6 linked regions of the Danio rerio genome follow. The protein of the gene in region 2 purifies or fractionates together with the protein of the main gene of each other region. This does not show direct contact. Links are inferred from orthologs where the notes say so. Each region holds a gene or a part of one and is shown on either strand. Other genes may lie near its edges. The genes, in order: polr3b, zgc:171971, polr3glb, polr2f, uri1 and si:ch211-140b10.6.

Region 1 (3,500 bases), on a different chromosome or scaffold from region 2:
CGATTCTCAGTGCTAATAACACATCTTATCTAATTGAGGGCTGCTCTGGTCAATTGGTGCACACGTGTGGGCTCATTAGTGGACCTTTGATGAGGCCCGCACAATGTCACATCCACGCACACAGGCATTCACATCCGCTCAGACACTGGTTGCTAGGATGCAGATGTGGTCCTTGCTGACCCATTGATGTGTCTTTGTGATGAATAATAAATCTCAGATCCAGCATTTGATAATACACCTCAAAAATGGGGAAAAAAACCTAAAAAGTTGGACAACCAGATTATTTCTGCTATATGGTGATGATCTAGGCAAATGACTTTGAAAATACTTCTAGTGTCATTCAAGCTGGAACAATTGTTTTATGTATTATGCATTTACAAGCAATGCAAAGCAGTTTCTGTCTGGGGTACCTGAGTTTGGGTGAATATTTGAGCCTTCTGACACTCCTCCAAACTGGGAGCAAAAGCAGCCATTACATGTTCTTCTGTGCCAATCATTTGAACGATCTCCTGATCACTCTCCACTCCCATAGCCTGACGAAAGACAAAGAAATGAGTAGAGATGGTACTTAAAGCTCAATTATTCAATATTTTTAATGCCTAAACAGACCCAATCACTAAAACTGAAAGTGATCAAACCAGATTAGGCATGGGACGATAACCAGTTTCAAGGTTTACTGTGATTTGGAAAAGGTTTGTCATAGAATTCCTATGGTATATGTAAGGGTTTTTTTTTCAGTGTTTTTTATGTCTTGGAAAGAAATCTGTGTTTTTGAAACTAATAAACATAGCAGATGTTATTTATTTATTTTAATCAAGTAGCTTGACATGTTTACTGTTCCAAAACATTATAAATGTTTCCTAAAATAAAATATATTGTGTTCAATTGGGGAAAAAGTTGTTGCTATACAAAGATTTTTTTTTTAAATTATTTTATAGTAGTAATCACAATACCGTGATATTTTTTTTATCAAGGGTTATCATACCGCCAGAAACCTTTACCGGCCCAAATCCATCAATCACATTCCTCTCTGACCAATAGTGAGAGTTTGGGCTGTGTTAAGTGTAGCAGCCAGAAGGGTTGTGCAACATTTATTCTTTACAATGATATAATAACTATTCTTTTAACCAAACATGTCCCAAACCTGTCAAAAAAGTGTCTTTAGAGTCCGAAAACATTCACTGTGTGAAGAAGCCTATTAAAAAGCAATCAATATGAAACCATAATAATTTTTTTAAATATCCACTTGTTGACGTTTTTTTCCTTTTTATAAGATATAGAAATAGATAGACAAGTAACCATTTAGATGTCAATAACATACTTTGATGCCAATGGTTACAGGTTTACAGCTTTCATCGAATTATCTTCTTTTATATTCAACTCGCACAGGTTTGTAACAAGTGACAAGTGGGTAAATAATGACAGTTTTCATTTCTGTGTGAACTACCCATCTAACCACATAGCAACATCATTCAGTACTTAATGTATAATTACACGGTAACACAGACACAGCAAACAAATGTAACCATAAAAAACACATGCATGTCAAAGATCCCAAGCTTCATAATCTATACAGACACACACTAACATAAATAAACAAGTGTAGGACTCTGCTTTAAGGCAAAGGTGAATGTGATGGCACAGGTCTCGATGACATTTATTTATGCTAATGTGGGACTGTGGGAACAGGACTGGGTGGATCAGAGTGCTTAAAGGTCTCCACCGTTTGGCTCGGCTGCTGTGTTGCAAGGAAATCCTGCTGGAATGTGCTGTGGACAGACAAGTGCAAAGCAAACAAGCTTGACTGCCGATTTACTCCACACCCCATCCCCAACCGACCAGACCCATATGTTTAGAGAGTCTGGGCTAAGGGAATTACGACTAACATCCATCACCAGTCCACTGATCTGAGCTCTAATTATATATCCGTTTCAACTGACACATGACATTTAAGATGGAGAACTGCCAGCTAAAATGCACTGAAAGGATGCAAACAATATAAATACTACATAATATTTGAGGAAAGATTTTTTTTTTGGATGGCAAATGTATGTAATGAATGCATGAGAAATGATTAATGGGCTTTATGCACAGCTAGAGCTTTAAAGCTAACGATAAACTTCAGGTGAAATCTTAATGTGACTTCAATTTCACAAGGTTGTTATTACAGCACTGATGTTGTTATGTAATTCAAGTTAAAATAAACTGTCATATCTTAAAGACATGGCGGGAGGAAATGGAATTTAATGCAGTGCTTCTTGTCCAATCTGAGACCCACTTTATATTGTACAGTATATCTAACAGGCAGTGAAGATCGCTGATAATTAAAGAAATCAGATCTTAAACGTGACAATTTTGTAATAAAAAGACAGCTCATGGGAAGCCCTTGGGCTGCATGGCCAAAAATTAAAAGTCTTTGTGCATATAGCACAATATCATAATAGAAAGTTATAGTAACATTAAAAAGAAGGGTTCCCCAAAAAATCATTTAGCATTTCATTTGATTTTCTTTTGTTAAACACAAAAACTGATATTTTGAAGAATGTTGAAAACCTGCAGCCATTGATCTCTATGTTTTTATTTTATTATCTACTATGTATTTCAATAACACTCAGTTTCAAAAAACAGAAAAAAAACTCAAAGGTTTGAAAACTCTTGATGGCAAGTAAAAGATGAGCAAATTAAAATTTTTGAGTGAATAAAATAGGGTGAGTATGATGTTTTTAAAAGGTTTTTAATGCTTTCAAAGACTAAATTCAATAAAAATTCAGTAAACACAGTAACAATTAATTATGAATTAAATATGTAAATGTATTATAAATAATAAATGTATTCATGTGACTGCAAAGCTGAAAATCATTCTAATATTTTAAATTACTGCTTCATGTAAACATGTTATCAAGGCTAGAAACAAAAACACAATATTTTTGTGGAAACTGTGATACTGTTTTTCATTGTTCTTTGCTACTGTAACATACGTACATTACATACGTACATATGTACGGTTTAAAAATCTGATTTTACTTACAACAGATATACTTTGTATTATTATAACCTCCTAAAAATACATTTAAATTGCTGTACTTGGTGTTCAGAACCGTTTTTTGTCAAACAGCGCCATCTATTGGTTGTTAGCAGCATGTCTCCTGAGAGCTAAATACTGGACTGTATAAAGACAAATGCATATTATATCTTGCTAATTCAATTTAGCCGACAAAGACACAAAACAATCCTGCTTTAAACCAACATCTTCAGACAAATGCCCACCTTAAAGATGATAGCGATGGGTGCGTCTTCAGAGAGAGTGTTGTGCTTCAGGTAAAAGCGGCCCTGTTTCACAATCATGTTGGTTCTGCTCTTTTTCTCATGAGTAGAACTACAAACCAGACAAAATAAGAGAGATGAGTACAAAACAAAATCAAAGATTAAATTGATTTCACATAAATGAAAACCCTAACCAAAATGATGACATTATTTACTTACAAGAGCTTACCGTAAAG
Region 2 (4,232 bases):
TTCAGCTCCTGTTACGCCATAAATATGATGTTGATAAGTCTGACTCTTAAGTAACATTTCGAGAGTTTTTTTGGGGCAATACCAGTGTATAAATTAAATTAAAAAATTTGTTTATTATTTTATAATTAATTGTGTATTATTTAAATTATTAAATAGAAATATATTTTACAAATATTGAATATATTTTACAAAAAACAAAACTATATAAATTATTTCAGAAACATTAGTTGCAAATTGCACAAATATAAACTTTAAATGTATTTACATTATTTTAATGAACAATATTTATTCATTATTGTGAAAAACTAGATATTATATTATATTATTATATCTTTTTCTAACAGGAATGATAAGCTCTCTGCTAGCAAAATATATAATATAATATAATATAATATAATATAATATAATATAATATAATATAATATAATATAATATAATATAATATAAATAGGAATAAAAAAGTGAGGGCAGCCAAAAGTTGAGTGCCGCCCTTTGTTCAATATGAGTTAGAAGAAGGGTGGATGGAAGGGGTCTGTGTCCCAAAACTTACTGAAGTGGTTACTTTTACAACAGTTTTTTATAAAATATGTTTTTATTTTTCACCTTTTCATTTTAGTTTTATTTTATACTTGTTAATGCATAATATTCAAAATAAATGTATTGTACAAATATTGAGTATATTTTACACAAAACACGAAATTTCATAGACAGTAGTTTTAAAATTCAGTCCGATAATAAACCATTTTATGACACAAAAGAGACCATATAAAAGGAATGAAATAAACTTTAAATAAATATGTTTAAAATGTTTGTGCATTAAATTAAAACTATAAATAAATATGTTTAAAATGTTTGTGCATTAAATTAAAATTTACCATTTACAATTTTAAAGAGTATTTATGAAATACAGTCCAGAGTTATTATAGTATATCATTATATAGGCCTAATACAATATGATATTTATAAAAATAGCTATAAATATATATGTAAATAGATTTGAAACAAAATGTTTATTTATTGTTCAGATAAAATAACCGTTAAAAACAAAATATTTAAAATTAGTTCATTATTATTTAATATACAGCACTTATAATTTTTTTTAAGTTAAAAGTTTATTAATATTTTATTAATTGAGAGTTTATTAACAAAACCATCATGATGACACCATAAGACTAAATGGACAAATAAAAACTTTAAATATATTTTATTTATTTTTATTAAAAAATTTGTTATTGTGATAAATATAATATAAAATGATATAATAATATAAAATAAAATATAATATAGATGATATATAAAATAATAATATGTAAATATTAAAAAATGATATATAATATAATATAATATAATATAATATAATATAATATAATATAATATAATATAATATAAAATGTCTGAGTAATCTTTTCCTAACAGAGGGCTCGTGTCACGTGACCAATGATGCTCCTGCAAGGATGTAGCTGTCAGCTGGAAGAGTTCGGCAGATATGATGTGAGCAGTTTACACAAATTTCAAGTACGTATAGTATTTATTTTCACTTATCTCTAATGCAGCCGTGCGCAGCATTTTTAAATATGTCCGTCTAAATGTCATAAAGTGCTATGAAAGGCTTTGTTTTGATAGCATAGGTTGCTAACAAAATGGAGGCGCGCGCGTCTTGAAATCCAAGTCAGCGCACATTTAGTGTATTTTGAACGAGCGTTTCTCTTGGAAAATTAAGGTTTTCACCTTTGTTTGAGTCTGAGTAATCACATATTGCACGCTGCTCAGTAGGGTTTGTTGTTTGTGTGTTTGGCAGGATGTGTGATCATGGAGATGGGGACGCGGAGGCGAGCTCATCTTCCACTTTCAGACCGTCTTTTGCTCTGGGCAACGTTAAAGGACTGCCAGGGAGAATTTCACACAATCCTCCTCCACCAGGCAGACTGACCTCCCTGCGGTCCAGAGACCTGACCCTGGGAGGATTTAAAAAGGTTACTCATTCTAATACCTTTTTAATGCTGTTTTTAATCTTTAACAAAGACAAAAGATTGGTTTAAAGGGATAGTTCACGCAAAAAAATAAAAATTCTGTCATCATTTACTTACTCTTTCCTTGTTTCAAACCTTTAACGTTATTCGTTTCTGTCTTGTGTTGAATTTATTGAATTACTTGTTTGTGTTTTGGATGTTTATTGTTTTGTCCATGTTTGGGCTCTTGCCCTCAGCTGCAGTCATCACAAGACAAATTTCCCTAACTGGGACAATAAAGTTTTACCTTACCTTACCTTAAACACAAAATAAATAATTATGAAAAATGCTGGAAACCTGTAACTATTATTGAGATTTTAAATTTGGTTTTGTATTCGCTCGTTCATTCAGAACTTGTGATATGATCATTAGGCATGGGCCGATACAAGATTCTGACGGGATGATAACCTTGGATAAAAAATATCACGGTTTCACAGTATTGTGATTACTTCTCTAAAATATATTCTTTTTAAATCTCTGGGTAAAAAACAAACTTTTTTTCCACTTTAAATACAAAAAATTTACTTTGAGAAACATTTTAAATATTTTCCAACAGTAAACATGTCAGGCTACAGTAAATAATTAAAACAAGTCTTTGACTTCTGCTGTCTTCATTAGTTTCAAAAACTCAAATTTCTTTACAATTTAAAGTAGCACCTTTAGATATGTTTTTGTTGTCGGAGATTTGTCCTAAAAAAAAACAAAACAAAAAAAAATAAAAAAAAAACGAGATAAAATAAATAATAATTAAAATATAAATAAAAAAAACAAACAAATACATACCTTAGGAAACGGTATAGCAAAAGATTTCGGCAGTTTTAAAACCTTGATTTTTCCAAACCGCAGTACACCTCGAAAACGGTTATTGTCCCATGCCTAATGCTCACTATATCGTTTACGGTAACTTGGTTAAGTTAGTTTTATATTCACACATTCATGCTTTCTCCTTAATAATATAACTAGAGAAAAGTATTGTTTGCAAATTCTAAATAATGAATTAATATTAGCAGCCAACAACTGTCAAAGGGAAACATTAACAACTAAAGTCAGTTAAATAGTGCCAATGTTGTTTTGAAGACATCCTTACATGCTATTTCAGACTGAATAGTCAAAGTAGCTTGTTGAACAATACAGGGAGCGTGTCACAAGTTGTCGCTGTTAAAAACTGAACAATCGTGCGAATACAAAATCAACTTTACCTTAGTATTGTTTACCATAGTACTTTATCAGGAATATTAGGACTGAAATCACATGTAACTTCAAAACAACATTAGCACTATTTATTTGGCTGTGGACAATGTTGTATAATTGTGATACAACATTAATAAAACAATAATACTTGTTTGAAATTATATTATTAAGGAGAAAGTCAGAATGTGCGAAAATAAAACTAACTTTACCACATTGTAACCAGTGATTTTCTTAGTATTTGTTTTTCCTACTATGGTGGTCAATGGTTACAGGTTTTCAACATATTCAAAATATCAAATTTTGTTTAATTGAAGAAAGAAATGTATAATGGTTTGTGGGTGAGTTCATTATTACATTTAAAATATTCAGTGAACTATTCCTTTAACTTATGTTACTTGCATTGTGCTTTTTTACAATAAAAACATGGTTTCAAACCTGCTTTGGAGAAAATTATGAAGAAAATGTAAATGTGCAGCGCATTTTTTTAAAACCATAACCATTAGGATATATTTGTATAATACAATTTAACATGATCACATAACATGATAACATGATCTATCTATCTATCTATCTATCTAATAAATGCAGGTTAAATTTACATGAATGCACCTGTTACTTTAAATTACACTAGAATAATATTATTTTACCCATATTCTTGACATTTTACTTTCTCTAAAGTCTGAGACATCAAATTATAGACACTTCATTACATTGAATATTCTTTTTAATATTAAATTAAATTAAATTTTTTGTAAATTGTTTTTAATGCAGACATCAAATTAGGTCATCATGTCAATGCCTCATACTATGTTTATACTTGTCAGTTTATTAGAATTTTAGTCTAATTACTATCTGGTCATGTGTAATAAATATGAGTGTTACTTTAATAATGAACCAAGCAATTATTAATTGACTCGCTGTGTTTTTATTTCCCTTGCAGAAAACCTTTGTTCCAAATGTTCACTCCGTTCGCAAAAGTAAAGATGAGTAAGTATTTTTAAAGATCTCATTCTATTGCTTTGTTTGGTATTT
Region 3 (4,237 bases), on a different chromosome or scaffold from region 2:
CTAAGCATAATAGTTTTTTAATAAACATTAACTCATTTCTAATAAGTGATTTATTTTATCTTTGCCATGATGACAGTATATAATATTTGACTAGATATTTTTCAAGACACTTCTATACAGCTTAAAGTGACATTTAAAGGCATAACTAGGTTAATTAGTTTAACTAGGCAGGTTAGGGTAATAAGGCAAGTTATTGTATAACAGTGGTTTGTTCTGTAATCCAAGGGTTCCCAAACTTTTCAGCCCATGACACCCAAAACGACAATGCCAGTGACTCGCGACTCCCAACATCCTCTGAGGTGGTTATAAGTACAGAAACCCATGTCTATTCTTTGTGGAATTAATGTATGTCAGTGCTGTTAATGTGCCAGAAAGTTTAACCTGGTGTTATAAAATCAGTCTGTTACATCTGACGCTATTGCTGTCTTTAACATAATGTAATTACCCCAGGGGTCGCAATCCAATAGAACTAGTAACTAGAAGCTACTATAGTAACTCAATACAGCAGTATATAGTGTATAAAGATGTTAAAATGTTAAATCACTATAAAGATGATTTAGATTTTTCTCTTCAGTAGGTTATGGATAAAATATGGTAATTCTTATGGTTTAATAAAAATAACTCGATTTTTGGAAATAACTAGGCGACCCCCCCCCCCTTCATTGTCGCGCGTCCCCCACTTTGAGAACCCCTGTAGACTATCAAAAAAAAAAAAAAAAAAAAAGCTTAAAAGGGCTAATAATTTTGACCCTAAAAATTTTCATTGAAAAATTCAAAACTGCTTTTATTTTAGCCAAAATAAAACAATTAAGTCTTTCTCCAGAAGAAAAAATATTATCAGACATACTGTGAAAATTTCCTTGCCCTGTTAAACATCATTTGGGAAATATTTTAAAAAGAAAAAAGAATTCTAAGGGGGGCTAATAACAATACCTCAACTGTAAACACACACACACACACACACACACGCATGCACGCGCACACACACGCACTGTGTCTGTGAGTATTATACAATAAAGCCATGAATTACAGAAATATCTATACTGTATGTACACGGACAAATATGTTTCACATATGTAATAAAGTGTTGTAACTTAGTTATAGGCTACATAAACAGTAGTTTTAATAAATAATAGCCAACATTTAAAACAGATCAAAAATGTTTATCAAAATTTGTCCTAAGTTAAAAATGTGTGTTGTTGAATAGTTTTGGAACAACTTTGATAAAGGTTTTGATCCACTTCAAATGTTGACTACAGTATAATAATCTTTAGCATGTGCATCAGCATCTCTGTGAGCAATATGCAAAACATGTAATGAATCCTTACATATTTTGTAATGATTTGTTTGTTTAGCATGATTCACTTTGAGTAGCACTGGTTAACGTTAACTGACGCGAAACGCGGAACCATAAAAGACCGCGCTCATGTTTCTGGCAGGAGTGTTTTCAGAAGCGGGCAAAAACAAACGGGCAGATGTTTGGCGGGTGATTTTATTGCTCAATTTTACATCAATAAAACCTGAAATTACATTAAAAACAACCACGTTTACTGACGGATTAACCAATAAAACCTTTGCACAATGAAACGAAGTTGAAAATAAAGAGGGATTTCGCCGCATTGAGTGAAAGAGGTGTGTTTATATGCTACAGTTCGGTCAAAACAAATAAAACGTTACATTGAAAATAAAACATTTACCAAAAGTACATTTATGTAAAAATAAATATTTTAACATGTTTGGCCTAAATGTGTCTTTTCTAGCCGAATTTAGTTGTTTGATAATGAGTAAACTTATACTGTGAATAACGGATAAACGAGTTAAATAAAGAGGATGTATGATTAATAAATGTGAAATATTTTGTCTCAGATGATGGCAGGAAGGGGCAGAGGGCAGCTCACTTTCTCTGTGGAGATAGTTGGGATCGGTAAAGGTGAAAATCTCCCTCCGTCCTGCATCCAGCCGACACCTCTGTTCCCCGTGAGTCTTCAAGACACAACAATAAAGCCTCGTTTATAAACTGTTATACGCTTGTTATACACTGCTATTATCAAGATATGAGTCAGATTCTGCATTTCATGAGCATAAACGCAGTGCTTTAATAGTTTAATGTGGATGGCGTCACGAGCTACACAGAAATTGCATTGAAAAAACGGTCCTGTTCAACATTCAGCAAACATTACATTTTAAAAGTGTCTAATATCACAACAACATATTTGTTTAAATATTTGTTTTAGAATTCAAATTGTTTTATTGTTGAACACATCATCACAGTATTCCACCTTATTTACCTTAACAGTTACATAATAAGCCACTTACACTCACCGGCCACTTTATTAGGTACACCTTACTAGTTTTGGGTTGGACCACTTTTGTCTTCAGAACTGCCTTAATCATTCGTGGCATAGATTCAAAAAGATACTGGAAATATTCCTCAGAGATTTTGGTCCATATTGACATGATATCATCAAGCAGTTTGCCCGCTAAACATCCATGATGTGAATCTCCTTTTCCACCACATCCCAAAGATGCTCTATTGGATTGTGATCTGGTGAATATTGTGGCCATTTGAGTACAGTGAACTCATTGTGATGTTAAAAAAAAAAGTCTGAGATGATTTGTGCTTTCTGACATGGCGCGTTATCCTGCTGGAAGTAAGAGTAGAAATCAGAATTATCAGCCCCCCTTTGAATTTTTTTGTTCTTTTTTATATTTTTTAAATGATGTTTAACAGGGCAAGGACATGTTCACAGTATGTCTGATAATATTGTTTCTTCTGGAAAATTAAAGCAGTTATTAATTGTTAAATACCATTTTAAGGTCAAAATTATTAGCCCCTTTAAGCAATTTTTTTTCCGATAGTCTACAAGCCATCATTATACAATAACTTGCCTAATTACCCTAACCTGCCTAGTTAACCTAATTTACCTAGTTAAGCCGTTAACTGTCACTTTAAGCTGTATAGAAGTGTCTTGAAAAATATCTAGTCAAATATTATGTGCATCATGGCAAAGATAAAATAAATCAGTTATTAGAGATGAGGTATTAAAACTATTATGTTTAGAAATGTGCTGAAAAAAATATCTTTCTGTTAAACAGAAATTGGGGAAAAAAATAAAAAAGGGGCTAATAATTCTGACTTCAACTGTATGTTTTTTTTATTTCAATTAACATTTTTATTACAGTAAAGAAAATAATTTTATTGCCATTTTAAGTGTCTGTAGATGTCTCTGCCATAAAGACAGTACATAATATTTGACTAGATATTTTTCAAAATACTAGTATTCAGCTTAAAGTGACATTTAAAGGCTTAACTACAGTAGGTTGATTGGGGTTTATTAGACAAATCATTGTATAACAATGTTTTTTTTCTGTAGCCAATCGAAGAAGAAAAATTTTCTTAATGGGGCTAATAATATTGACCTTTAAATGGATTTTATTCTAGCCGAAATAAAACAAATACGACTTTCTCCGGAAGAAAAAATGTTATCAGACATACTGTGAAAATTTTCTTGCTCTGTTGAACATTATTTAGGAAATATTTTAAAAAAGAAAAAAATCATTCTGACTTTAGCTGTATGCCCTATTAAAAGCTGATTTCTGTCTTGGCATGTGTAAATGAGTGACAGCAGGTGTTTGTGTGAGCAGCAGACAGATGTGAATGTGCTGTTTGATGTGTTCAGCCTCTGGATCAGAAGCCAGTGCCCCTGCAGGCAGGTGAGGAGGCCGAGTACATGCTGGCCCTCAAACAGGAGTTTAGGGGAGCCATGAAGACGCTCCCGTTTTACATCCGTCCAGCGGCTCCCAAGAAAGGTCAGTTCAGAGCCCAGGACTAGCTCTTTACTGACATCTTTAAAGGGCTTATATTATGCTCATTGTATCATGTCATTTTTTTTTCGAAATTACATAACATGCGATTTCTACACTTTGGCACATATGCAATCCTTTTTTTCTAATCCTGAGTCTTAATGCAATTATTGTAAATAACATTTAAAGGTGCAAATGTTTAAAGGTATGTAATTTGACACCCAGTGGTTGAACTAGGAATTACATTCCAGAATCAAAACATATGCAAGTGCAGGTTGCCAGATGACCAAGAGGAGCGAGTCTCAAGCCTAATGTAAACCGTGTTCAGTATAAAAGCAACGGCACGTGATAGAACAAATATTTTCCATATTAAAAGGAGTTTTTGTCCTAACCAACACCTCGAATTGATATGTTAGAAACGGCTTTTATTTCA
Region 4 (4,153 bases), on a different chromosome or scaffold from region 2:
ATTCATAATCATTGCTTTTGCTAATGCAAGTTTTATGCCCGCCATTGGCATAAAATAATAATCCTAAAATAATTCTGCAGAAATCTGCAGATTTTTACCAAAATTCTCTGCAGAAATAGCAAAAAAACATCCGCAGATTCCGTCTGACCCTACTTATCAGTGTTAAAAATATTAGGACTTACTTTTGGGTGCGTCTAGCTCTATGCTCTGACTTCTCTTGTGAGCAGAACCAGGAACAACAGCTATAAAACATTAAATTAAAAAACATGTTAGAAAGATCAGCACTGGAGTGTTACTACAGGACATTATTATTTTATCACAGTGAAAACGGTAAACATGTAGTGAACATTATGACAGATAATTGCTCAAACCATATAAAGCCATTTCATAGTGTATAATTCTAACATCTTTATTTTAAAAAGCCACGTCTTCATCTTTATGAGCTGTTTTCTTTTGGTTTTGTGATGGTTAGTTTTTGACTTTAGGAAATAGCCGGTTTGGATGAATAAACTCTGACCTCTGCTTTCTCTGCCGGACATGTTGATTCTCTGTTTTTTCTTCAGTCTTCAGTCCATCAACTTTCTATTTGCACCTGATGATTGTCTCTTTATCACCCTGTCATAGATTACACAGATTTTACTTAGCAAGTTATATATTGATTTGTAACTTTTTTATACTCTGTTACCAATGTTAATGTTTGTGTAGTCTATATGAACATCTACTTACACTTTTTTGCCCTGAACATATGCGGTAAACAGCGCTCTTGTATAGTGATTAAATCAAATAGGCCTATTTATAACAAAGTGAACATGTTTAATGAAAGGAGGACAACAAAGTTCAACAGCTGTAAAAGTTTTACATTTACATTTCTTTAAAACAAGCTGACACTGCACATTCAGATATAGGTTATAGAATAGGCCTAGGCTACATTCAATTTTTGTTTTTGTTATCAAACACACCTGAAAGTAAAACCAACCAAATCTAAGGCTTGATTGCAACTACACACTGAATACATCCAAAATAAACAATTTCTTCCAAACATCGCAGTTACATCTATACATTTGCATATTTTACAAATTGATTATTTAAAACAAATGTTTACCGTGTCGAAGATAGTCTTTTCCTTCTTGAAAACTGGAAAAACCTGTATTTTGGGAGGAGTTTTGTGAAGTCACAAGACACTCTTCACCTCTTTTTTCTTCTATTTCAATGGCGGGTAACACCAACGCCGTCGCTTAAAGAGGGAAGTGGGGGGGAATGATTAGTCTGTAAACCTAACCTCTAGTCCACAGTGCAGAGCTGAAGGTGGCGGTAATGCACCAAAACGCTGGATGTCAACCGCCGTAAAATTATAAGAAGAAGAAGAAGAAGAAGAACGCCGTCGCTTTGGTCATATACTAGGTGTAGGAGTGTGAACCAGATCAAGTTCGCATTCCCAAATAAGTAGACATAGTAGCCTATATTTTATAGTCTCGTTCAGTTCTGTTGTCTTTTTATCTTCATATGTTTGTCTTGTTAGACATTTAAATGTAAAAATATGTCAATTTGATGCTAGAACAGGGTAAAGTCTAGATAGGATTCAGCTGCGGATATGCACATCAATATCTGTGATAAGAACAATTAATATTTTTACAGTACTGTGACGGTTGGGGGGTATACGTAAAATACATTTTATTAAGTAATTTAATAAATAGCAAAGTACAGCTACTCTGTTTGCTGTTACGGCTAGAACAGGACAATATTAGATATGGGGATTTATTTGAAAATTTATAACCAAAAGTTTTACAGCGTTGAAACGTCTTTTTAGCATCCCGTCTTTGTTTTATAAACCATCACACATTTCCTACATTGTCTTGTTAAGAAATGTAAAGTGATTGTATTGTATAAGAAAACTGTACATGCTGGTTCTTGTTAATAAAAAAATAATAAATAAATAAAAACATTTCCTACATTGTGTCTTTTTTTACTGCTTTACGATTTGCGTGTTTGCGGAACGTCAGTGCTGTGGATCGTGTTTCTGCACGGACAGTGACGCTGCGGCAACACCGGAAAATCCTTCCACGCTTGGAGTCGCGCTGCGGTAAACTAGCTGTGAGATTCCAGACATAACATTTTTCTTAAAAAATTACCTATTAAACCGGGGTAGGAGACGCAGAACACTAATAATGTCGGATAACGAGGACAAGTGAGTTTCAAACGCGTGTGTTGCGCTCAATGTTTTACTGTTTTCGAACGTTTAAAGTGTGTGAATGTGGAAAACAACAACATGCGATCATTTCCATACTGCGACACAACATATATAACGATGAATGTGACTTACACAGACCTGACAGCTGAGTCTTATTTACCCGATATAGCGAAGACTTGATTTGTGATTTATTGTCGATGACGTGTTTGTTTATCTCAGAGTTTGTTTGTTTGTTTGTTTAGTTTTGATGACGGAGATTTCGATGATGTTGAAGATGAAGAGCCTCTGGATGATCTGGAGAATGTGGAAGATGTAAGATCACACTTTCAGAGAAATACTTGCTTATATTCTGCCTGGTAATCATTGAGAAATGGAGTATTATAGTCAAAGATTTCTCTTATTTCCACATGAGAAATACCACAGAGTTACAGTTTAATAATTTGAGCCACACTGTAGTATTTTGCTGTATATATTATAGTATTTTTCAACTGGTTATTAATGAATGCTGCAACATACTGTAATATTAACTATAGTGAACTGAGAATAACTGTAGTATACAATAGATTTCTACAACTATGGAGTATATTATACTTCAATACACTACAATTTACTGTAGTAAAAACACAAGTATTGGCTTATTTGTTTATATTACTAAAGTACAATACATTCATTCATTCTCTGTTCGGCTTAGTCTCTTTATTATTCTGCGGAATGAACCGCTAACTTATCCAGCATATGTTTTACACAGCATATGTGTATGGGAAACACCCACACAAACTCATACACTGTGGCCAGTTTAGTTGATCAATTCCCCTATAGTGCATGTGTTTGGAGGAAACCCACGCCAACATGGGAGAACATGCAAACTCCACACAGAGATGCCAACTGACCCAGCCGGGACTCGAACCAGCAACTTTCTTTCTGTGAGGCGCTTGTGCTACCCACAGCGCCACCGTGATGCCAATATAGTAGAATGATATAGTAGAATCACCACAACAGATCAAATCAAGTACTCCACTATAGTATAGTGTTTGTGTATGCGTGTTTTGTGCTTGCTCATGTGTGTGTTGTGCATGCTTTTGTGTTTGTATTTTGTCCTAGCATTTGTGTACATTATGCATATTTGTGTGGGTGTGTGCATGCTTGTGTGTTTTGAGCATGCATTTGTTTCTGTGTTGTGTATGTATATATGTGTGTGTGTGTGTGTTTTGTTTAATTGTGTGTATCGTGTATGTGTTTGTGTGTGTTTTGTGTTTATTTTTGTCCAATGTTTTGTATGTGTGTGTGTGTGTGTGTGTGTGTGTGTGTGTGTGTGTGTGTAGGAGGACCAAGAGAATGTTCAGATCCTGCCGGCAGGTGAAGGACAGCAGGCCAATCAGAAGAGAATCACCACCCAATACATGACCAAATACGAGAGAGCGCGAGTGCTGGGAACACGAGCTCTGCAGATTGCGTGAGTGACCGATCCACAATCACCACTCAACACACACACACACACTGCCAAATACACAACATTACCAAACATGGAGATGCACACTGCAATGCCTCAATCTCTGAATCATCTCGCAGCATTAATCTGAACGCTCATACTCTGTTCATGTGTCCTTTTCTCTGTCCTCTGTTTAACTGTGGATTGAAGCACTGCTTTGGTTTCGCCTAACTTGCTGATCTTGGTGTCTGATATTGTGAGGTTTTATTTTTCTGTGATAAATATTGTGATAATACAGTTTCACTAGAGAGTTTGATTGGCTCTGTTTGACTGATTTCTGTGGAGAAACAAATGCTTTTCTTACTTTGCTTTCTCTCGTTTCTAGTCCAAATATCTAAAAATTCTTAAGAAAATATTTTGTTTTCAACTTTCCATGAACTTACTTTTGAAATTTTTCCCTAAAACAATCAAAATGATCTGCCTCTTATCCGTTTGATTAGCATTCATTTCAAGAGGAGCATTAAAGTGCAAAACCC
Region 5 (4,216 bases), on a different chromosome or scaffold from region 2:
AATATTAAAAATACCACAGACAACAATTAACAACCACTGCTAAATTATCAGTAATGTTTTAGTAGCGTGAATTGGCCATCACAGAGAATGACAGTCCTGAAAGTTCCTTGTGAAAAGTGGGACAAGCCTTTACATATTATTCCCATTCATGTCATTTCTCAATAAAATCAGAGTAAATGTTACATTTTTTTTTTTTTTTGCTATTGAATGTTTTTTTTTCAATTTCCATAAAAGGAATGAGGTTATTTCAGAGTGACTGGCAAAACAATGACAGTTTCAAGGTTAATTATGTGCTAAACTACTAAAATAATGTGATGATAGTAGGTTAATTATAACTTCCAATGTAAATACTGGTGTGGAATATGCAAGATCTTTACAGATTCTACAGGTAAATGACAAGATGATGTCAAAAAAATTTAAATAAACACACAAACACACACGTTTTGTTTGGCTGTACGATATTCTGCTATATCAGCACTTGTACAGCCTTCATACTCTTCTGTATTATTCCGCCCACATAGAGTGACAGCAGATGAAAAAACTTACTACAGATTGACAAATATAAGGGTTTTGGACAACATAATGTACTTTTGAGGTGAGAATGTAGTTGTTTAGATTGCAACTTTGCAGTTTATTTATAAGGATAGTGGCAATTTTAGAATATTTATAATTTCTGAGAGACCGTTAGCCTGTCACTGAGCAAAGCATAGACGGTTGACGTTTTGCTACAGAATGGCGACAAAAACCTCGATAAGTGCTTAGGGGAGGAAAAATTCAGCAAAAATAAAAATAAAAAAAATCAAATTACAGCTGATCAAATCATTATAAATAAGTGTCACTAAGTTGATGTTTCTCTTTTGTATGTTGTAGTGCTGTATTTATACCATAGTAATCTGGTTGCATTTGCGTTGCTTTGGTTTTTTCGGGGTTAATTATTGTGATCCCCCAATCGCAACAGAGAAATACTGGGAAATCTCTAAACATTGATGGCATTTCATGCCGTTCATCCTTATAATCTTAAAATGTGAGCAAAATGACCTGTTTTGTCATCACTTTAGACATTACGCTAGAGAATCCTTTAAATACTAGCTCTAAAGTGACGTTAGTGAATTAGCACAGGTTTCTGCTGTTCTGATGTCAGGTGCAGATGTGAATAATTGCCAGAAGAAGGTAGTTCCTCATACAAAAGTGTTTTTGAGAGACTCCGGTAGTCTTATGCCACTGAACTGTTGAACTCGTGGCAGTGTGATATGGCTGTATATCGTCACTGGTGGGACACTAAGGCCAAAGGGTACCAAAAAAGAGGTACGGTTCGCTTTTAGGTAACTTTTGACATTTTAAATGGCCATAAAAGCATTCCGAATACTAGGTAATGTCAAATAGAACTTTATAATTCTAAGGTGACGAGATTATATATATATATATATATATATATATATATATATATATATATATATATATATATATATATATATATTAGACACACACAATTATAAAACAAACTTTTGTAATATAAAGAAACTAAATTTATGACAAAGTAGTAAATGAATGATAGAATGATACTGGCAGAGAATATGGATTAAAAGTTACAAATACTTTGTGTTTTGGGGTTGCACTGTAATGCTTAGGACTAGGAGTATTTTAATGTCATCAAATGATACATGTTCTAAATATACCTGCCAATATACAGTATATTCTACTTGGTATAAACTTCTGTTATGGTAAAATATTTTTTATGGGTGTCTTAAGCTAAATGTGGCCATAATAATAAATGTAATAGACAAAGCTATAATTATTATTTTGTTGCTCAGGGATTCTAAAACAGTTTTTTTTTAAAACACATCTTTGCTGTAAAGAAAGCAGGTCAAACGTAATTTTCAAATCCAGCCAACTGGGTGTTTATCTTCAACTGTGAACAAATGGGGTCAAAGACATTGTGTGTATGACATTCACCTATTCTTTTCACTCCATGCACATAGAAATGGGTCAATTAAACCTTACCTTCACAGGGAGTCGTTTCCATTTCATTGCCTACTCTAAAAGTACTTTAAGCTTTTACTTGCTCTATACATTAAGGCAACGTGGGCATGTGCCATGTGGTTGATTAAATTGGAGTTAACGTCACATGTAAAGTTTTCTACTAACATCAAGATAAGCTTCATGTAAACACATACACGTGGATTTTACAGCAAAGTATTAAAAACACATGCAAACAAAAATGCAGTAACTGCAAAAAGAAAACCAACGGCAACACGTGATACAGAGAGAACTTTCCAGAGAATGAAACGGGCAACGCTGCAAATATACAAAATAAACGACATTAAAATCGACGACAAATCTTTCAAACGCTGATGACAAATCACGTTTATGAACATCAACAATAATATCTGCAGGAATGCATTGTTGTTATGGAAATAAACATTACTCCTGACCTTCCTGTGCTCATCTTTCAACCTCTCCACGCCTCGAGGCAAATCTCTCGTACTCCGTTTGACTTTCCCAACTGCAGCCATTTGCTCGTGCATCCACAATCAAGCAAGGTTTTTGTGTGATTAAATATCCAAAACAATGAATGCTCAGGGGTTTGAAGTCCTATAGAAATGTTTATGAATGCAATGTGATGCGTTGCACTCAATTTGTCGCCTCGTAGTCATCAATGAAGCAGAACGAGTCGTCCAGTATATCGAGATTGAGACCATTTCACACGTGCATGGTACGATGTCAATCTAATCCCGAAATTTCCTCTTGTTTACAGTCCACCGACGGCCTGCTTCCCCTGCGCCATGTTCATCTAATCACGGATGTAGTACGTGCTCTGGATATCGCTCTCCTTCTACGACGCAAGCACGTGATCTCCCACTTTTGCTATTTAATTTCACTTTCATTTATAATTTTCGACTTTAAATGCTTAGCTGCAATAAATTTATTGAGTTATTCGTGGACTTAAATGATTACATGCTGAAATGAAATTAAATAAACAACTTTTAGTATTAACGCCACTCTTTAAAATTGGCAAACGAAAGTGGTCGCTTGTTGGGACACGTGTATATATACATATTTTGATAACAGTAAATGTAGGTACTGTCTAAGCGCTTTTGTTCTGTTCACTTTATATGTTTAAATGAAAACATGGGTTGATGATGAGAGGATGTAAACAATCCTCACGCCAACGTCACGTGACGTTACGAAACAGGAAGTCGTACAATTTATGATTCGACAAAAACAAAAGGCTTCTGTACAATTCAAGGAGCTTAGAATGACCATTCATGATCATTCTAAGCTCTTTGGTACAATTTCATGTAAGAAAGTTTGCTCATTACCCCACATTTAAAATAAATAAATAAATAAAATAAGAGAAGTTACATTTAAACTGATTAATAGATGCTATCCAAACCATTTGGATCTAAAAAGGCTTATGAATAATATTAACATCAACTGTCCATTTTGCTTAGAGATTCCTAAAACTTCTGTTCATTTATTTTGGAATTGGCCTCATTCAGTGACATTTTGATGTGATATTCTTGATTTTATAAAAGATTATGTGCTGGCACATTTTGCATTTACTTATAAGAATTTTTTTTTTTTTTTGGTTTCTGTAAAAGTCAAAAGGAAAGTAATACTTATTTCATAACCTGATTTTTTTGTTGGGCAAATTTCATATTCACAAAAACAAATTTTGTAAGTGTATTTTGTTTAGGGTTAGGATTTTCTTTCTTAATGTAAAATTGAAATGAAAATGTATTTTGAGTCTATTGAGGGATCAACAAACTTAAAAGCAATAAGAACAAGGACTTTATTGCAGGATTTGGCACTTATCTTGGACTAGATGACTGAAAACCCCTGGATTGTTGTTGTTGTTTGCCCTTACAAAAATAACTGCAGTAAACGAGAGCAGTAAACTGAAGTAAAACTGCAGTACAACAGCAGTAAATAGAAGTATAATTGCATATGAATTAAGTACAATTGCTATAAAAATGAAGTATAAACACAGCTCAAATGCAGTACAATAAAGTTTAACTACAGTTTAAGTTCCAGTTAACAAAACAAGTAAACTCTGTCTTTACTGCACTTGTGCAGTATGCCAATGTCTAATATGCCAATGGCGTGTTAAGTACTACACTTATGATTCAAGGGATTTGTTCTTCAACACCTTCCGAGAATATTTTGTACTTTTTTAGGGATGTATTTTTTTGGATTCAAGTAATTTTTTATTAAG
Region 6 (4,146 bases), on a different chromosome or scaffold from region 2:
GCGCTTGTTTGTGCTTCCCAGTGGACATTTCATCCTAAAACAAAACGGCAATTTAAGCAGCTTTAGGAGACATATATAGTAGTTAATTACACACATACATACATACATACATACATACATACATTCCATAGATATATACACTATCGCATATGGTTCCTGAGCATGCGTCAATTGCGCCGCCACATTTGTACAGTGCTCCCAGGACATCATTCAACTGCACTAATCAAGACTAAAGCCAATGTGAAGATGCTGGACTTTAGCACTGCTTACGGGTGTAGTAACAAGCAAACAAAGAAAACCAAGCACAAAGGCAGAACATTTCATAGGTAAGATTTCGTTTTTTATGTTTTTGTATGTTACAAACTGGCACTCAATTCTAGACTTATGCTAGTTTTGTTGAATAAAATGAGATAACAATGTAAATGAAATATAACAAGAAGGTGCTGCTGTGAAAACTTGTATTATTGTCAACTAAGTGATCAAGTCCTTCTTAACAGAGATTCATTCACAAACGAATCCCTCCCTCCGTTGGAATGAAAAGTGAAAGCAGGAGAGGGGGTGTGTTTAAGGACATGAATTAGATCAAATTAAACAGGGAGGGTAGATAATACATTTCCATGCACACAATCACACACTCTTTGCCAGGAATGCCCATGCAATCATTTATCCATCAATATAGAAAAGTGATGTAAACTTATAATTTTTGTAATTTCATAAAATATTTGCATACTGACCAATGGAAAACCCCCCGATCGTAAATAAATGTGTATATGTGTATATATGGATGGCCAGTCCTCCGCTGCACCTTGAACCCACATTCATTTTAAAGAAGCGCTACCCTGTACTAAAATGGCGACTCTATCGACAAATTCCTTTCAATAGATGAAAAAAGCGTAGGCAACATCTAATGTAAATGTCTATACATACATACATACTGTACATACATCTTTTGATTTGGAGGACGATAACCAACATTTTAAACATAAATCGCGTAACCTTCACAGAGCAAATTAGCATGCAACTTGACTGTTGCATAAAAATAATAGGTTAAATGACAGAACTGTATTTAATTAACAAACAAGTTAAATACATATATTTTAATAAAATGAAAAGGAAAATGAAAGAACTAAGGACTGAAGCCAGCTCAAATGTTCTACAATTATTAGTCATTTGACACTTTTGTTACCGCACTCCCACAAGATTCTCCCGTAAAAACACCAGTAAAAACGATTACACCCAATTAAAAATAAATATTTCTTCTAGCCATTTTCCAATGAATACAGCCAATCATCTTTGGTTTATTTAAACAGAACAGTTATATGGTTCAGTCATTTAACACCTTCGAGGATAGAAAATAATACACTTACAATCAAACAAGTTTTTGCAAAAAAAAAAAAAAAAAAGTATTTTTCCCGTTTATTAATATATTATTTAATATTTTCCCCCAGTATATTAATTAAGGTGTACTGATTTTTGCACTGTGATCTTAAATAGTTTTTTTTAATTATAAGCTTGTCATAATATCTATTTTTTCTTGTATGATATATTGCACCAACATATATTATGATGAACAATATTGTCATTTTGAGACCATTTTATGCCACTTATTATATAATGCCAAAATGACAATATAATAACATCAAAATGCAAGTACACTCTTCTAAAGACCACATAATATTTTATTCTTAAGGATGTTTCATTTAATTTATAGTCATTTTAACTTTAATAATGAGGCAGGGGAATCAGCATGTGAAAACACATATCCTGAATAAATAGTAGTAAAAAGTGCAATGTAAAAAGTAACAGAGGCTGCAAGATCTGCTACCAGATCTATTTTCAGTTGTCAGACACCTGCATGAAAATATACTACAGTAACATAAAGAGGTTGCACCATCAGCTAAAATGTTGCTAGAATTGACTTTTATATATGGGCAATATATATTACATCACCAAAAATGATAGATGTCATGTCAATGTGTTGTGCGATAAGTCGATATATTGATTATTGTGAAAAGCATATTTGATTAGTCACAGTTTTGGCTTTTGTACCTTAAAATCTAAAGAGTTTGTGCAAAATGCATTACTGTAAAGCATTTTATACTACATATTAATTTAAAATACAGATCTTTAAGGGGTGTACTCAGTACTGTATATATACATACACAGGTTTAAGTTCACATCCGAAAACCAAAGTTACACCCTTGTGTGTGTGCGCGTGTGTGTAAAAGAGTGGGGGCAATAGTGGTTACTAATAATAGAAAAAGACTTCAAATTGGTCACTTTAAATATCTGTAATTTATCAATTTAGTGATCCAAACTTACCATCCAGCAGGACCCATTGTCTCGACACGGGCTTTTGCTCTGTTCGCTTCTTTAAGGAGCTCCTCCACTGCTTTTCTGGGGAAATTATTTACAGTGAGACATTTGACGACAGAAACGGGTTAATTTATGTATTACCGTGACCCCAAATTAAATAGCACGTTTAAATCTCTGACGGTGCAAAATAGACTTTTCTAGGATACCGAAATGTTTGCTATATAACAAAAGTATGGTGCTTCGTCTCAGGTTTTGGTTTACACAAATTTACTGACCAATTTGCACGAAGCCGAGGGCGTTAGCATATTCTGCATCGTAAACTAGTCCAATAAACTGGTCAAAAGGGGGAAAATTGACATTTAGAAATATCATACCTTTCCAGTTCACTGTCTTCCATGATCTAATTAACCTTAAACCGCAGTCACTGTTAATTTATAGCTTGTTCCAGCTTGCTAACCAGTAACGTTAGTGTTTACTATTCTCGAGGACCCAATTTAGGACCCCGGTCCGCTTGACCATCTTAGTTTTGACTAAATTTGCGGAAGTGAGCAGACAGTAAAATTCAAACTAAAAATGTAGAAACTATCTGCACTTGGAACAAAAAGTACGTACATTTAAACAGTCTATTTTAGTTTATTATTTGACTTAATAATAGGTTTTACGATCGCACTTTAATCAGGCATCTCGATGGTCACAACTGATATTCGACTAACAGCGCCGTCTGCAGCCTGTCAAACGAACGGTAGTGAAAAAATCAGAGTCATTTCATCAAATGGTTCATTTGAACAGCAGCTCTGAATGGAACAGTTCAACATGTTCCGACGGTTCTTTACGTCATTACATGATCCCAAAGCGCATTACATGACATAATATCTTTACAGTCTTTTTATTTATTTAACTTATGTAATTTATATTTTAGTTTATTTTATGTTATAGGTTACATTTGTAGTTTTGGATGTCATGTTTAAATTGTATATTTGCTGCTGTTTAATAATAATAAAAAAATAATAAATAAAATAATAAATAAATCAATTAATCTCTTTTTATCTTATCTAAATACATGAATGTTGACAATACTTGCACACTTATCACATCTTTTCTATAACTGTGATGTCTCTTACATTTTAGTATGATGTTAGTGACGTGTTATTTGGGCAAATACATGTTAAAAGATTGTATTTGCTCTTTACACACACACACACGCACGCACGCACGCACGCACGCACACACACACACACACACACACACACACACTCATTAGAGTATGTTGGTATGTTGTTAATTTTTACATGCTACAAGGTTAATATTTTATTCATAAACAGAAGTTTGCGAAGTGTATACCAAAATGCTATTAATTTTTATTAGAAATGGAAACTTTGAAAAAGTTTCTAATGCAAATTAATAACAAAAAAATGACTTGATGTTAGATTTCATGAAGTTTTTTTTTCTGGTACTGATCCCTCACTGTAGTCTGATTGTGTGCCAATCTTTTTTTTTTATTACTAGTTATATTTAATTTAATATTTTTACTTGTTATGTTTTTGTTTTAATATTATTTCTGGATGTGGCTTTTTGCACTTATTGTAATGGTCTTGGATATAGTTTGTGTCTGAATTTTTATTAATACATAGTGTTATGTTTTAATGCTTATAATTAAAAAAAACTTGATCAAATATCTTAATTCTAAGTCACTTGTGAGCAATAATTACTATTTAATTAATGTTTTTTTTCTTTAGATATTTATTTAAATTAAATGTATTTAAATATAAGTTTAGATTCACTAAAAACAGAAATGCATTCAGAGGAAAAAAATTATATTTGTTTTCCCAA

The links.
Region 1: the proteins of zgc:171971 (region 2) and polr3b purify together in Homo sapiens (affinity purification with mass spectrometry; 8 studies listed by BioGRID and IntAct, counting the BioPlex papers as one, with this or other methods). This does not show direct contact. The link is inferred for Danio rerio from reciprocal best matches to the Homo sapiens genes POLR3D and POLR3B.
Region 3: the proteins of zgc:171971 (region 2) and polr3glb purify together in Homo sapiens (co-immunoprecipitation; 4 studies listed by BioGRID and IntAct, counting the BioPlex papers as one, with this or other methods). This does not show direct contact. The link is inferred for Danio rerio from reciprocal best matches to the Homo sapiens genes POLR3D and POLR3GL.
Region 4: the proteins of zgc:171971 (region 2) and polr2f purify together in Homo sapiens (affinity purification with mass spectrometry; 5 studies listed by BioGRID and IntAct, with this or other methods). This does not show direct contact. The link is inferred for Danio rerio from reciprocal best matches to the Homo sapiens genes POLR3D and POLR2F.
Region 5: the proteins of zgc:171971 (region 2) and uri1 purify together in Homo sapiens (affinity purification with mass spectrometry; 3 studies listed by BioGRID and IntAct, with this or other methods). This does not show direct contact. The link is inferred for Danio rerio from reciprocal best matches to the Homo sapiens genes POLR3D and URI1.
Region 6: the proteins of zgc:171971 (region 2) and si:ch211-140b10.6 purify together in Homo sapiens (affinity purification with mass spectrometry; 6 studies listed by BioGRID and IntAct, counting the BioPlex papers as one, with this or other methods). This does not show direct contact. The link is inferred for Danio rerio from reciprocal best matches to the Homo sapiens genes POLR3D and POLR1D.

The regions. Positions count from the first base shown.
Region 1 is NC_133193.1:16,764,684-16,768,183, forward strand, and holds part of polr3b (DNA-directed RNA polymerase III subunit RPC2), read right to left. Parts: intron 3,377-3,500; coding exon 3,268-3,376; intron 534-3,267; coding exon 411-533; intron 1-410. UniProt on the Homo sapiens protein: Catalytic core component of RNA polymerase III (Pol III), a DNA-dependent RNA polymerase which synthesizes small non-coding RNAs using the four ribonucleoside triphosphates as substrates.
Region 2 is NC_133187.1:7,835,675-7,839,906, reverse strand, and holds the start of zgc:171971 (uncharacterized protein), read left to right. Parts: upstream 1-1,432; 5' UTR 1,433-1,486; coding exon of another isoform or gene 1,487-1,491; 5' UTR 1,492-1,515; intron 1,516-1,798; coding exon of another isoform or gene 1,799-1,799; coding exon 1,800-1,973; intron 1,974-4,140; coding exon 4,141-4,187; intron 4,188-4,232. UniProt on the Homo sapiens protein: DNA-dependent RNA polymerase catalyzes the transcription of DNA into RNA using the four ribonucleoside triphosphates as substrates.
Region 3 is NC_133191.1:47,264,670-47,268,906, forward strand, and holds the start of polr3glb (DNA-directed RNA polymerase III subunit RPC7-like), read left to right. Parts: upstream 1-1,437; 5' UTR 1,438-1,632; intron 1,633-1,866; 5' UTR 1,867-1,869; coding exon 1,870-1,977; intron 1,978-3,680; coding exon 3,681-3,810; intron 3,811-4,237. UniProt on the Homo sapiens protein: DNA-dependent RNA polymerase catalyzes the transcription of DNA into RNA using the four ribonucleoside triphosphates as substrates. Specific peripheric component of RNA polymerase III which synthesizes small RNAs, such as 5S rRNA and tRNAs.
Region 4 is NC_133178.1:1,278,189-1,282,341, reverse strand, and holds the start of polr2f (DNA-directed RNA polymerases I, II, and III subunit RPABC2), read left to right. Parts: upstream 1-1,353; 5' UTR 1,354-1,376; intron 1,377-2,033; 5' UTR 2,034-2,165; coding exon 2,166-2,185; intron 2,186-2,430; coding exon 2,431-2,500; intron 2,501-3,510; coding exon 3,511-3,641; intron 3,642-4,153. Other genes in the region: uncharacterized protein, read right to left, coding at 183-242, 518-539. UniProt on the Homo sapiens protein: DNA-dependent RNA polymerase catalyzes the transcription of DNA into RNA using the four ribonucleoside triphosphates as substrates.
Region 5 is NC_133193.1:16,045,299-16,049,514, reverse strand, and holds the start of uri1 (unconventional prefoldin RPB5 interactor 1), read right to left. Parts: upstream 2,801-4,216; 5' UTR 2,514-2,800; coding exon 2,433-2,513; exon of another isoform or gene 2,029-2,432; coding exon of another isoform or gene 2,002-2,028; intron 1-2,001. UniProt on the Homo sapiens protein: Involved in gene transcription regulation. Acts as a transcriptional repressor in concert with the corepressor UXT to regulate androgen receptor (AR) transcription.
Region 6 is NC_133199.1:25,556,342-25,560,487, reverse strand, and holds the start of si:ch211-140b10.6 (protein POLR1D-like), read right to left. Parts: upstream 2,801-4,146; 5' UTR 2,714-2,800; coding exon 2,691-2,713; intron 2,398-2,690; coding exon 2,323-2,397; intron 35-2,322; coding exon 1-34.